2 linked regions of the Drosophila melanogaster genome follow. The protein of the gene in region 1 interacts with the protein of each later gene in a pairwise test. Each region holds a gene or a part of one and is shown on either strand. Other genes may lie near its edges.

The links. Proteins that work in one complex are often made in the same cells at the same time.
Region 2: the proteins of Apt1 (region 1) and CG8187 interact in a two-hybrid assay, tested with the Drosophila melanogaster proteins (one large-scale study listed by BioGRID).

Annotation. Positions count from the first base shown.
Region 1 is NT_037436.4:11,624,666-11,632,429, reverse strand, and holds Apt1 (Acyl-protein thioesterase 1), read right to left. Parts: upstream 4,394-7,764; 5' UTR 4,294-4,393; intron 4,214-4,293; exon of another isoform or gene 4,180-4,213; intron 4,088-4,179; 5' UTR 3,977-4,087; coding exon 3,929-3,976; intron 3,868-3,928; coding exon 3,836-3,867; intron 3,470-3,835; coding exon 2,926-3,469; exon of another isoform or gene 2,850-2,925; coding exon 2,832-2,849; coding exon of another isoform or gene 2,823-2,831; exon of another isoform or gene 2,438-2,822; intron 2,201-2,437; coding exon of another isoform or gene 2,177-2,200; exon of another isoform or gene 1,964-2,176; coding exon 1,907-1,963; 3' UTR 1,681-1,906; downstream 1-1,680. Other genes in the region: PCID2 (PCI domain-containing protein 2), read right to left, coding at 4,763-5,950; CG6083 (uncharacterized protein), read left to right, coding at 6,446-6,514, 6,671-6,813, 6,878-7,579, 7,650-7,704.
Region 2 is NT_033778.4:15,537,426-15,544,171, forward strand, and holds CG8187 (uncharacterized protein), read right to left. Parts: upstream 3,939-6,746; 5' UTR 3,848-3,938; coding exon 3,275-3,847; intron 3,216-3,274; coding exon 3,032-3,215; intron 2,979-3,031; coding exon 2,605-2,978; 3' UTR 2,513-2,604; coding exon of another isoform or gene 2,153-2,512; 3' UTR 2,129-2,152; downstream 1-2,128. Other genes in the region: CG30471 (uncharacterized protein), read left to right, coding at 1-43, 100-225; CG30467 (uncharacterized protein), read left to right, coding at 889-2,094, 2,153-2,512; Vha36-1 (vacuolar H[+] ATPase 36kD subunit 1), read left to right, coding at 4,112-4,852; eIF2Bgamma (eukaryotic translation initiation factor 2B subunit gamma), read left to right, coding at 5,329-5,479, 5,533-6,041, 6,097-6,237, 6,331-6,746.

The DNA.
Region 1 (7,764 bases):
GATTAATCACATGTTTACTTTTAATTACTCATTGAAGTCATAGGTCAGTGACAACAAAAATAGAAAGATATGCACGAATCTAAAAAAAGGAATTTTTGGGAAACAATATTGAGTTTACTAAAGCGGAGGTAAATTGTGAAACAATTTATGTATTTAAATTTAGTCTAGTTATGAAATGAAATTCCTTGCTTATCTTAAAGAGCGAATTTGGTTTAAATATATATTTAATATAAATCAAGTTAAGAATTGCATTTGTAGACGAAGGTAAATGTAGAATATAATTTAACAATAGTCATATTATAATGAGGAGCACTTAAAACTGAAACTTTGACGGGGTCTTGATTTAAAACTTGTAAATTTGTAAATGTGCGTCAGTCAACAAGAATGTATTAAAAATGTTATTCGTATTATTTCACCATATATATACTGTTTTTTTGAAACAGATAAGCTCAAAATTAATTAATCTATCTTTAAATGCACTCCAAAGTGCAATACAAACTGAAATCATAAAAAGCTTTAAAATTTCATTGTTTTCAGATAAGTTACGATCGTCGGGAAATCTATTTAGTGAAATGTCACAAAATGAATTGCTAGTCCACAGAATGCAATGTTGATTATTTGGGTGAACATATAGATTATTGTAGTTCTTATGCCATTGTTGCACATCCGACTGGGCAAACACAATACAAAAGGCTCCCCCTTTGTGGATAGAGCCGATCAAAACAAAGACGAAAACAAACTAGAGCGCAGTGAAATTGACTTGCTCGCAAAAATTGATTTAATTGGCATATGCACATCAGATTTAGATAGTTTTGATTTTTCTTATGATCACTTCTTACATTGGCTTGGCTTATGTAATGCGTTTCAAATTTCCCCGCGAAAAATGTGCTGAAATTGGCCGAGGAAAAAGCGACGCGAACTTAAATTTTTGAAGAGCTGGCAAAACCGCGTCCACTCTCAACGGCGGCGTGAAAACAACTGAACTGACGCTTAGTCGGCACTTGGAGTCGCAGTCCAACGGGTTCCCCAAATGTCAGTGGATGGTCGCAGTACAGAGCGGGATTTGAGTCTTATGTCTGTGAATCAGTAAATTAGCATATGCCATATAGAAAAGAACAAATCAATATGAATAAGATTAAACTTACATACAACTGAATTGAGAATAAGTAGTACCTAAAATGTATAATTGTTGTTTATTGTTACAAAGGCAATACATTTATTTTGTTTTTTTTTAATAATTTAAACAAAGGGAACTAAAACAATTTAGTTCGTAGACTTCAGTGAGAAAGATATCGCAGGAGCAATAAATGAATAAGTTCTTCAAACCAAATATAATTTTATAAAACGTTTATGAAGATGTCTTTAATGAATTCTTACTTTACTTTATCCAAGACTTTAGAAGGCCAAAAAATAACGCAATTTACGGCTTTTACAAACATATCACAACCATAGCGAATTTAAATTGAACACAAAAGCGCGCCAAATTTATCGATAAAAAGGGTAAATGGAATAAATTATACCAAGGCATACAAAAAATACCGAAGAGAACATAATACAACGTTATGCAACACTACCATCAAAATTTTAAAAAAGGTCAGTTACGTTCGCAAATTTTAAAGTAGAACTGGAAAAAACAGACACGAAGACCCCTTTTTTCTGGATTAAGTTCGCCTTGCAGTTGAGAGCTTCAAATAACTTTATTGGCCATTCGCTACGGCAAATGGATTGCCTGTCACTTCACCAGGTGAACCAACTTCAACTTCTTAACCAACTTCATCGTGTGTATGTACAAAATAATTACTAAAATACAATTCTCGTGCGGCCCGAGACGTCCTGACTAGGCTGAGGAGCTTTGATTTGCTTGATTTGAGGAAGGAACCTTCACTACAACTAGCACTGGTTGCTACTACGATAACTGGCAGCATTGCGCCTTTCTAGCCATGTTCTGGCTATCCCACTGTGTCTGCAAATATATAGATCGAGATGAGAGATGGTGAGTGGTGCGGCAGGACTACTGGATTAGCAGGTGGAATATGTGTGCTTATAAAGAATCTGAGAGGGTGTGCATTTGAGGGCCCGAGGGAGTCGTTTAATCTGAACAACCGGTTCGTATATTGCCATTGGTTTAACAAGTGAAGAATGCGAATTTCAATTGGTAGCCAGTGGGGCCGCGGCTCTACAGATGATTGTTTGCCTGTTGCTGTGCGAAATAAAATGAAATAAGAAACGAGAAATCAAATCAAAATGGAATCGAGAGAATTGGCGGTTTTAATGTTAGCTACAACGAACAAACAAATGTTAAGTGCGATTTATTTAGTCACTTAAAGTATCTGAAATGACGCCCGTTTGCCAGCTAAATAGCAACGCAGAATCGCTGGCAATCGGGTTTTGGTTGAAAGAGTTGTAATCCAATTCAGATTGTGGCTATAGGTTTTATAGTTGTTCTTTGATTATATAACTTTATTAATTTCAATTTAAATACGAACAAGTCCCAAATAAGTAAACCGAAATAATTAGCAGCGAAGAAATATCAAAGTCAGTTGCTTCTATACTCTGAAACGTCTCGCGCTGGAGAATTTCCCTCGCAAATTGCTTGTATTTTGGCATTTAATTAGGTATAGCTACCGTGTGTGTATAATAATTGATTGCTTTTCGAATTGATTTTTCAGTGATAATTTCCATAATTGGGCTACGAGAGAGCCTACTCGTATAACTCTCAGTGTGACTCTCTTACTGCGCTCCATATTGCGTGAATAGTTGGAATGCAACGGGCTGGGTCGGGGGCTTTCGTACGTTCTAAGAGTGCTATGGTTCAGTGGAAGTTAGTTTACCCATTTACTGATGATGTCCTGTAATCGAGAAGAGCAGAGTGAACGTTTCGTCAGCCATGGGAATTCCAAATGACGCTCCGTGCGACCCACTCACCTTGACGTCATCCATTTCGTCGTCGGACGACGAGTGCGATAGTCCACTGTACGTCTTGAACGTCACATTCTTCATGAACGACTTGAGCAGGCTGGCGCTCAGCTGGCCGAATTTGTACGGCACCACGGGATCGTAGTCGCCATGCGCCTGGAAAATCGGCACATCATCGCTGTTCACCTTGGCGCCTGGGAACTGCTTGTGCAGCGGCAGCCAACAGGATAGGGCCACCACGCCGGCCAGCGGCTGATCGTACGTGAGTGCCGAGTACAGTGCCAAGGCTCCGCCCTGCGAGAATCCGCCCAGGACAATGCGATTGGCCGGAATCCCAGCGCTAATCTCCTTCTGGATCATACCGTGCACACTATCACGCGCCGACTGGATGCCCGGCTCGTCCTCGGGCCCACCGATGTCCAGCGTCTTCAGGTCAAACCACGACGGCATGCGGAAGCCGGCGTTCAGCGAAACGGGCTGTGTGGGCGCCGTGGGGCAGATGACTTTCATGAAAGGTGGGCGGATGGCGGCTAGGGCACTGCTCCAGCCATGACTGTTGGAAAAGGCATTCATTAACGAGATAAGAAGGATTTTGCATAACTCTTTCACTCAAAAAAACTTCTATTTACTTAGGTAAGTTTTGTTTGCAGTTTTCTAATAATTTAAAAGGAAGAACGAATTTAAAATGGTATGGGATATACATAATGAGCTTAACTGGGGAATACTCTGAAGGCTTCTCATCAGTTACTTGAATCTAGAACACCCTAAGCGCTTATAAATTGTTTTTTTTTCCCATAGGAACTGAAGCGTTAAAATCCTTTTAATTTCATATGTGCAAATATTTCTGTTTCGCATACTTCAATATTTTGTGAATGAAGTCTTTGGGAGCATTATTTTGAATGAGGATGACCCCACTTACCCCGTATCACCCAGGCCGTGCATGAAGATCAGCTGCAATACACAAGTGATTAGTCGAGGGCTTCCGGAATTTGGACTACGGCGGACTACTCACCGTGGCGGTTTGCTTGACCGTGGCCTCGACAATGACCGGCGCAGCCATGTCTGCTGTTCAGTTTAGCCTCTACTGGGGACGCACTATTCCTATTCCAGGTACTCTGCGATTCGGCGACTTGGCGCTGCTTTCGTCGCTTTTTTCGGTGTCAGCGGATTTCTGCAATGCAGTGAAAAAGAAACACTTTGTAGTTTGCGTTTTAGTTATGTCACGTTGTAAACGCAAAGCAAAATTAGTAATATTGATTTTACGATTGCGAAAATGACAACACGTCGCCGGCTGAGAAATGGTTACTAGCTAACTAGATCTAATCTTCGCCACTTGTCTTATGTACACTTTGCGCGAATGAGGCTCTAATCATTTACCAGGTAATACCACAAGTATTGTGTTAATTTGTTTAAATTCGCTCAACTACGACAATTCATGCAGCTGCGTTCCAAAAAGTTCAGAGATGAGTGATAGTCGGTGGACCTAGAGATGTGACCGAAACCGATTCCGCTGTCGATACATCGGTTCGAGCACAAAAATCGATATATATCAATTCCAAAGTTCGATTAAGTTTAAAAAGTGGTATTAGTTTAAAACCGTTGAAAAATAAACATATTTATAACCAAAAATTATATTATTAGTTCATAAGTTGATTTGAAACATATAGGTTTCGAAAAACCAAACAAAATTATAACCAAATAGAATTGAAGGTACTTTAAATTCAAAGTCTTCAGGTCTTATACTCATCGTTGGTGCCCTCCATTCACATGCCCCATCCAGTAAACTAATACACTGATTAAATTGGATTCTTTTACTCTTAAAAATTCACAATAATTACAAAATGCACTAAAGGGACACTGAGGGGAATGGATTTTGCTTCGACACGACCAGTTTGTTGTGAGCATGTGAGATGTACCCCTTAATCTTTCCATCGTAAATGAGATTGGCCACGATGCAGTGCGTCTCGTCCAGAGAAACATCGGTTAAGCCAACGAAATGCAAGGCGGAGAGGAAGTCACCCATGTCCAACTGATGCGATTTCCGGATGACGAACACCTTCTTGAACAGGTTGCGATACACGAGGAACTTGAGCTTCTCCACCAGCAGATAGATACCACTCCTGATCAGCACCAGCTCCTGGTCCCTGACAATCTCATCAAAGCGATTCACATTGCCAGCCTTCATGGCCATAGCCAGATCGAGAAACAGCAGGAGATCGTAGCGCTGCAGTAAGGATTTGCTGGGCAGATATCCCAGCAGCATCTTCACTGGCACCAAATAGATGAGGATGAGCCTCTTGTTGCTGGCAAACCGATCCGGGCAGTTGCTAAAGGCATACGACAGATACTGTACGGCTGCCTGGTAGTTGGAGTCGAACATAGCCCGTCTACCTACAAAATACTTGTAGGTAATTTGCTCCGGCAGCGGAAAAGAATCCTTGAAGATGCAATTATCGATGGCACGGATAAGGGGCTTGCACAGATGCAACTTGTTGATTCGAAAATAAATCTTGAATAGCTGGTTTACGAGGTTCATCATGCCCAGACGCTTGGTGTCCTCCTCTGAAGCTCGTCCATCAGCGGCACAAACGCGGAAACAGGCCATTATGCAGTCGGCAGCCTTCTCCAATACGTGGCCAGGTGTGAATCCTTGACAATGCTTCTCGCAGGCCTGCGCCAAGTACCTTAGATCCAGGCACACGCGGTACATTAGTGGCAGGCACCAATTCTCGTCCTTCAGCTGCTGCAAAAGCCTCACAACGGCTCCGCAGGCTGCCGACTGTTGGGTGTAGGCTTCCATGTAACCAGGAGGCTCCTGTGCCAGGTGATACAGCACCTTCAGGTGGGCGGACACAACTTCGTCCAGTGGCGGTTTCAGGAATCGATCCACCAACTTTTCCGGCTGGGCAATGTACAAATTGTGGTTCTGAACGTGCACGTCTCGTAAGGAGAGATACGTGGCCAAGGACTCGCCATCTAAATCCTGGGCGGCGTGCAAAACGCCGGATAAATAGTTATTTACGGTGCCGAACATTGTTTGTGTTTTTCGCAGGCGGCAAAATTAGAGATGGTAGGTCAGGCACTATCTGCGAATGCGATGTTTTCATCGGAAACTTCTATCGATTGTCTTTGTTTTTTATAACGCGATAATACAAAGAATATTTTTTCAAAAGTTTTTTTTTTAACATTTTATTTTATTTTATTAAAAAAAGGTATTTATTTACATTATACTCGGTTTATAAAATAAAACTCTGAACGCAGAAAAAGAGTTTTTTGTTTTAAATTTTAAAATTTCCCTCTGCAGCGAATCGATTATATTCCGCGAAGGTCTTTTGCTTGCCCAAAAGATTCTAAATTTAAACAATTTTCGTACATATAGTTGTGATAGCAGAGCTGTCACAAGACATGCTGTTTCTAGCCAGTTTAATAGGCCTTTGAGTATAGTTCACTTAGTAAATTACAAATTAAAGCTTTCCAAAAACGAAGCCAGTGCAACAACATATTTCACAAGGAGCAAAAGGATTCAAACATGTCGACACCGAATTTTCTCTTGAGCAATGGTAAAAATATGCCTATGTTGGGTCTCGGAACTTGGCGGGTAAGTACTTTTACATAGATATATATTGTTATTAAATAATAGCCAGCTGAAATGTGCATTTCCACTGCATATTTCACGGTCAATGTCAAAGCTCTTCGGGGTCAAGCAAAAGCTTTTGATGCACCTCAGCTTTTTACGTTTTATTCGCCATTTTAGAGCCCGCCGGAAGTGGTGACCCAAGCAGTAAAGGATGCTATTGATATAGGCTATCGCCATTTTGACTGCGCTCATATCTATGGCAATGAGGCGCAAGTGGGAGCTGCTCTCCGGGAGAAAATGGACGAGGGAGTGGTCACACGGTAAGTGCTGCTTTCAGGCCTAATCAATCGTTTATCTAAGCCATAAATACATATTGCACTGCAGAGATGAACTCTTCATCACGAGCAAACTTTGGAACACACACCACAAGCCGGATTTGGTGCGCCCGGCATGTGAGACAAGCATAAGGAACTTGGGAGTCAAGTACCTAAACCTCTACCTGATGCACTGGCCCATGGCCTACAAGTCGGGCAGTGACAACCTATATCCCACGTGTCCGGACACCAATAAGGCCGCATTCGAGGACATCGACTATGTGGACACGTGGCGTGCAATGGAGAATCTGGTGGACGAGGGTCTGTGCCAGGCCATCGGTGTGTCTAACTTCAATGAGCAGCAGATGAATAGACTTCTCAGTGTGGCCAAGCTTAAACCGGTAGTTCTTCAAATCGAGTGCCACCCGTACCTTAGTCAGAAGCCATTGATTACGCTGTGCTATGACAATGCCATTGCTGTGACCGCCTACAGCTGCCTGGGATCGGGACATACGCCCTACGAGAAGCCCGGCGCTTATCCACTGCTCCAGCATCCGACCATCTTGGCTATAGCTGAGAAATACGAAAGGACTGCGGCACAGGTGCTCCTACGCTTTCAGACACAATCGGGTATAATTGTCATCCCAAGATCAGTAAGCAAACAGCACATGTTGGACAACTTTAAGCGAATCTGGGACTTTGAGTTGGCCGTCGATGACATACAGGCCATTAACGAATTGGACTGCAATGGGCGTTTTATGACCATGAAGGCGTAGGTGTTGCTCTTTTCATTTCCTAGGTTTTAACTTGAAATATCTCGAATCTTTCTATTTTTCTCCTAGGGCCTATGGACATCCTCATCATCCATTTGAACCCAAAGCCAAAGTAGATAATTAATATTAATTAATATTAGAAGTACAAGTAGTTATTTAAACTGATTGCCTTTAATGTGATAAG
Region 2 (6,746 bases), on another chromosome or scaffold:
CAGTCTGACCAGTACGAGCTCTGCAGTTGATCCCTTTCTGCTGGTAAGTTGCATTCTCATTTGATTTTGCTTTTTAATAATATTGAGTTGTTTCTTTAGAGCGTCATCTGCTGCGGGTTTACGATGATCGTTTATCTGGCCTCCATCGCCTTTTCGCTGGCTTTTGAGCTGCCCTACAGCAATCTGTCTAGTTTGCTGCTCAAGGGAAAACCAAAAACCTCATAAACTGTGATTACCTTTCATTGTTAGCATTACATCTAAGTCATTTATTAATAGAAAGTTATGGTTATAAAATAATGTTATCTTTTATTGGAATTTTCGAATTTAGATATAATATTAAAAGAATAATATTATAGCAACGTTGCTGTTGGAATTTTTGAATTTAGTAACAAACATACTAATAATACGATATTTAATAAGTGTAGGCGCCAATGTTTTAAATTTCCTTGTGGATTCCATTGGATTCCACAACGTGTGGTGATGATTAGGTTTGCACCTTCACTAACTAATGAAATCCACACTTTTGGTTGCTTTCAAAGAAGTTAAAGGTAGTTTTGGTTGTTTTAAGTTGTAAACTGATATTGTTAACCAGCTGACTAACTTTCCCAGTTCAGAAGTATCACACATTTGAGCAATATATTTAAACGATCAACCCACCGAAGTGCGAGAAAGTGTGACCTGCTTATGTAAAAGTGATTTAGATACCGAGCTTTTCCGAACTGACTTTTCCAAAGCTTAAGGTATTTTTTATGAAAGAACCAACGGACCCACTGACAGCGTCTAAAAAAAAAGATCTTGTCCAAAATATATTGATTAGTACCACTGCCATTCTGCATTCTGCCAAACGAACCCGTTAAACAGTTTGCCCAGACCCGGATCCAGATCGAAATGCCCAAGGAAGAAGCGGAGCCATCGGCGAGTGGTCTTGCGGTGGCCGCCAAGCAAAACGATGTGCCATCCGCGGAAAACTCGAATCACAAGGAAAGCGACGCATACGCCTCCGCCTCTGCCAGCGCCAGTAGCGCCTCGACCACGCCCCCACCCGCCCAGGAAGACGCCGAGGAGGCGGAGCTGCTGGAGCGTATGCGCGGCGATGCAGTCGGCAACACCATGTACAGCAGTCGATTCATCCTGAAAACGGTGATGAGGGTGGGAGAATTACTGCGGCATTCAACACTGGATCAGCAGCTGGAGGATGACCTGTGCAAAGTGTGGGACATGTCGGTGTCCCCCGAAGTGGTCACACTGCTGCTGGAGAACGGAGCCATTGATCCGATCATGTACACCCTGGTGGCGGGCTGTGAAGATGTGCGGCTCTACGAGATTCTTATCGGACTGCTGGGCAATATGTGCGCCCAGGTGGAGTGCGCAGAGATATTGGCCTGTGACCGCTACACGTTGGAAACCCTGTTCAAGATGACATACTGCATGGACACCGCCATGTTGATACAGCTGATGCGACTCTTTCAGTACATCATGGCCCATGTGCTTAGCGGCAAGGAGAAGTTCGCTGTGAACTGGTACATCTGCTTTGCTGCCTTTGAGAACTCCGCGCAGAACCTGGGCAGGATATTGCAACTGTCCGTTAGCGATGAACTGCTAGTAGCTGCACTGAAGGCCACAAATGCTGTGCTGGCCAGTTGCGCCTTGGTGGAGGAGGAAAACGCAAACTCCACGTTGAATCTAAAGCCTTTTGCGGAGGTCTTTCTAGTGCCAGAACTCTGCGAGGGGGTCAATAGCGCGTTTTTGCGACTCATGCGCGATGATCAGACAAAATTGACCGACGAGGAAGCTGGCGAGGACAACGAAGATGCAGAAGTGCCAGCGGCCCACGACAGTGATGAAGATGCCGACGTCGGTTACGACTCGTGCGGACCAAAAATAACCTGTGATGTGGAGATCATACAAACCTACCTCAATATATGCACCATTCTGGTCCAACTGCCAGAGGCGCAGGCCTCCATGGATGTGTATGCACCCAGTATAGTCAGTTGTCTAGCGCGAATACTGCAGTTTTTGCAGCAGCCTCTGCAACTCATTCCATTAGGCGAACGCCAGGAGGAGTATCTCGAGGATCTGGCGCACATTTGGAGTGTAAGTTTGGAAAAGATACTTAATATTCGACGTTCTATTTAAATATTTATTTTTGCAGCGCCTGAAGTACTTCTATCACAAGGAGGCCTTCTTAAATCTTTTGGAATTGTGGTATAGACTTAAACAGCACATTGACAACTACACGGGGGGAAGTGATCCCGACGCCAATGAGTTCGAAGAGGACGAAGAGGAGGAGGATGACGCTCCAAAGGAGCAGTATGTGGAGAACGCCTTGAAGTTGCTGCGCCTGTTGGCATGTATGGTGATAAAAGCGGAAAACTCGGATCTCCAAGAGATTGGCGATGAAAAGGTGCAACTGTTTGTGTCTGCACTCAAAGCCGGAAAGGAAGAAGCCATTTTCTCAAGGGCACTTGAATGCTTAAAGGATAAAGTGGCTAAGGAGTCGGGCCAAGCCTAAACAACATGCCTCCATGATGGATAAAGCAAAAATGACTGAGATTGTAGCTTGCAGCACAATATATTCTTAACTTAGTTAGTCTCTGTCTTTACCTAAGGTAAATCGTCCAAGGTGCCGGTAGCCTTCAACTTATTACGCATCATATCGCTCCATGACTGTTTTCCCAGGCGCACGCCCTTGTCGCCTGTGCTGCTTACTTCCAGTCGATTTGTATTTGGATTGCTTAGCACGAATTTGTTCTTGCTCTCGTTGAGAGCATGGGCTACATGCTCCAGTTCGTTTTCCAATTTCACTTCGGGGGCTGTTACCTCGATGTGAAGATTCTGCTCTATGGCTTGGGAAATGTGTATGATAGCCTCTTCTAATAAGTTCTCGGCGTCGATTTTGTTGCTCCCCACTAGCTCAGAGAGTTGGACATTTAAATTTCCTCCTTTGGTAGTTATTTGAATATTGCCATGTACTCCAGCTGAAATTGAAAGTTTTTAGCATGATGGTGTTATTCTTCGTTGTTTCGCATACTCATATTGAGATCCGACGACTGATGGACGTGCACTTCGCTGCTTTTGTGGACATTCTTGAGCTCCAGACGCCCAGTTTGTGTCTGAAACTTTGACTTTTCCACATAACAACAATCGGTTACAATACTGCCAGCTTTGGTGGAACAATTCAAGCTGTCTCCTTGCAACTTATCCATCGCAATGTTCTAAAAAAGAAATATAAAGGTTAATAATAAGATCAGATTGATAGTAAATTTTTTCTCACCCCATTTTGTGACTCTATTTGGGTAATCTTGCCCAGCAATGTGCCCTGGCAATTGATGTTGCCATTTTCACTGTACAAGTTTATATGGGTGGCCTTGATATTTTTGGTAAGGATGCCTTCCTTTGCTTTGACTTGCAGCAGTTCACTCTGTATGCCTTCCACTCGCACACTACCTTTTGCGTCCACAGAGACATCGGAACGCACAGGTATTTGCAGATGGCATTCAAGCTTTGAGGGCTGCTCCGCCAGTTGTTTAACCACCACATTGACCACCTTGTCCTCATCGGTTACCTTCACATCGAGAGAGACATTCGAGTTCTTGACATGGCCGCCAACCAGTTGGGCGATAAACACATCCCCGCTGGTATACTGATGCACATCCGCGGGCTGGATGCGCAGGAAAACATCGGACTTCACGTTGATCCTGGCAAAGGGGTTTACATAATGCAGGATCTCCTGATGGACCATCCGCATGCTCACGGCCATGGCTGGTTTGATGTGGGCTCGCGACTTGTTCGCGTATTGGCGTAGATGGTTGTTTAAATGTGTCAACCACACGCGTTGCAGAAGCATTATAAATCCAATAAAGAAATGGAATTTATTAGATTTGTTTACTTTTAAATGCAAAATCAGCTGTGGCTGCGTATTTTGCAGTACTGTATCTAAGCGCACTACCCAGCACCAACTGGTTATCGATTGGCTACGGGCAGTAGCCAACACTGTCATCCGTCATTTTCCAGTTGGAGTTTTTCAGTGTTCTGCGACGGTTGCAGTTTTCTTGATACGCAGTTGAAAATTGTTTAGTCCAGCCAATTACCATCCGAAAAAAACAGCAAAATGTCCGGAAAAGATAGGCTACCGATTTTCCCGTCCCGTGGTGCCCAGATGTTGATGAAGGCCCGTCTGGCTGGAGCCCAGAAAGGTCACGGTCTGCTCAAGAAGAAGGCGGATGCCCTGCAGATGCGATTCCGTTTGATTCTGGGCAAGATCATCGAGACCAAGACCCTGATGGGTGATGTTATGAAAGAGGCAGCCTTCTCGCTGGCGGAGGCCAAATTCACGTCTGGCGACATCAACCAAGTGGTGCTGCAAAACGTGACCAAGGCCCAGATCAAGATCCGCACCAAGAAGGACAACGTGGCTGGTGTCACTCTGCCCGTTTTCGAGTCCTACCAGGACGGATCCGACACCTACGAACTGGCCGGTCTAGCCCGTGGTGGTCAGCAGCTGGCCAAGCTGAAGAAGAACTACCAAAGCGCCGTTAAACTGCTCGTGGAGCTGGCCTCGCTGCAGACCTCATTCGTCACCCTGGACGAGGTGATCAAGATCACCAACCGTCGTGTGAACGCCATTGAGCATGTGATCATCCCCCGAATCGATAGGACTTTGGCCTACATCATCTCGGAGCTGGACGAGCTCGAGCGTGAGGAGTTCTACCGACTGAAGAAGATCCAGGACAAGAAGCGCGAGGCACGCATCAAGGCCGACGCCAAGAAGGCGGAGTTGCTGCAGCAGGGCATCGATGTGCGCCAGCAGGCCAATATCCTGGATGAGGGCGATGACGACGTGCTGTTCTAAGTATTACCTTGGATGTGTTTATTCCAGCAATATTATTGTTAAACTATTTTCTGTTCTGTATCCGTTTCCATATTGTAATTCGCAAAGGGCAAGCCACAAACTTAATTGTACCTATGTAGCAAAAGTGTGTAGACTATTCCAATAAGCAGAAAAGTATGTATTCCATTTTTGTAGTGTAGTGTAAGCTGCGCAAATCATGCATTAAAGTCTTGTTGTATCATACGATGTGCATTCTGTGTAATAATTAAGTGGAAAAAGGGAATTTTCATTGCAAAAAGGGTCATCTGACTTGTTTTATACAATAGCAAAAGCAACAAAAACAATTGCACAGTCACATGACAGCAAACATATGTCTGATTGGAAGCAGTGTTGGACAGCGCTCGTAGGTGTTTCGCTTGCATTGGATCAGCTGTTTGCGTGGCTCTTTTTGTGCTTGCACGCTTTTTAGCCGAAATTATTTATATTTTTGTGAAACAATGACCGAGTTCCAGGCCGTAGTTTTTGCCGCTGGGCGTGGCACTCGTCTACCCGAGGTCTTGGGGGATGCCCCCAAATGCCTGCTGCCGGTGGGTCCATATCCTCTGATTTGGTATCCCTTAAATCTGCTGCAACAACACAACTTTACAGGTAATTCGGATAGTCTGAATTAAAAACCTGGATTTAATTGAAAAATATTTCAGAGGTCATTGTTGTGGTACTGGAGCAAGAAAAACTAGAGATCCAATCTGCTCTGGAAAACACTCCCTTAAAGCTGAGACTGGACTATGCCACGATTCCTAGTGACGGGGATTTCGGAACTGCCGACAGTCTGCGCTACATATACGATAAGATCAAGTCGGACTTTCTGGTGGTCAGCTGCGACCTGGTCAGCAATGTCAGCCTATATCCGCTGATCAACAAGTTTCGGGAACATGATGCCGCCCTTGCAATGCTCCTATTTCCCAGCGGATTTGAGTCGGACGTTGTTATGCCCGGTCCCAAAAGCAAGCACAAACCGGAAAGGGATTTGATTGGCATCCATGCGGCCACTCAGAGATTGGCTTTCGTATCCGCCGCCAGTGACTGCGAGGAAACACTCAACATCCAGCGACATCTGCTCAAGAACCGCGGAAGGTTGGATGTATACAGCCGACTGGTGGATGCTCATGTTTATGTGCTGAAAAAATGGGTTATCGATTATCTACGAAGGGTTAGTTTTGATATGACCTTATAGTAAATTGTTTTCTAATATTCAATCTTTGCAGAAGGAAAATATATCAACCTTTAAGGGCGAATTTCTGCCGCATTTGATAAAGAAGCAGCACTCAAAACGACCTCCTAAAACGGTGCAGGACACCACATCCGAAGTGGGCGTGGTCACCAAGAATGAGGATCATGTTTTGCATGTGAGTTACTACTTGGTATTAACAGGTTACCTTTAGTACCCGTATACCCGTATTGAATATCATATAAAATCCTATTATGTCTTTAACTTTCAGTATGTAGGCCACACCATTCTGGACCAGAAGATCACGCAGACTTCACTGTTTAACCAATCTCTATCCCAATCCCCCTATCATGGCGATATTGTGCGTTGCTATGGCATTCAGGCGCCCAGAGATGCCATAGGTGTGCGGGTAAACAACACTTTGAGCTTCTTGGCCATCAATCGCAAGTTAGCCAGCATCTGGAACAATCTGTGTGGCGAAAAGCATCCACTGATCTCTCCTGGAGCCGTGGTAAAATCAACCCAAACGAAGGAGATCATAGCGGCTGACAATGCCAAGTTGTCCGAAAAGACTTCACTGAACTTCAGCGTTTTCGGACCCAACTGCATCATCAGTCCCAAAAACATTGTGGCCAATTCGTTAATTATGTCCAATGCGATTGTGGAGGAGGGCTGCAACATCGACAA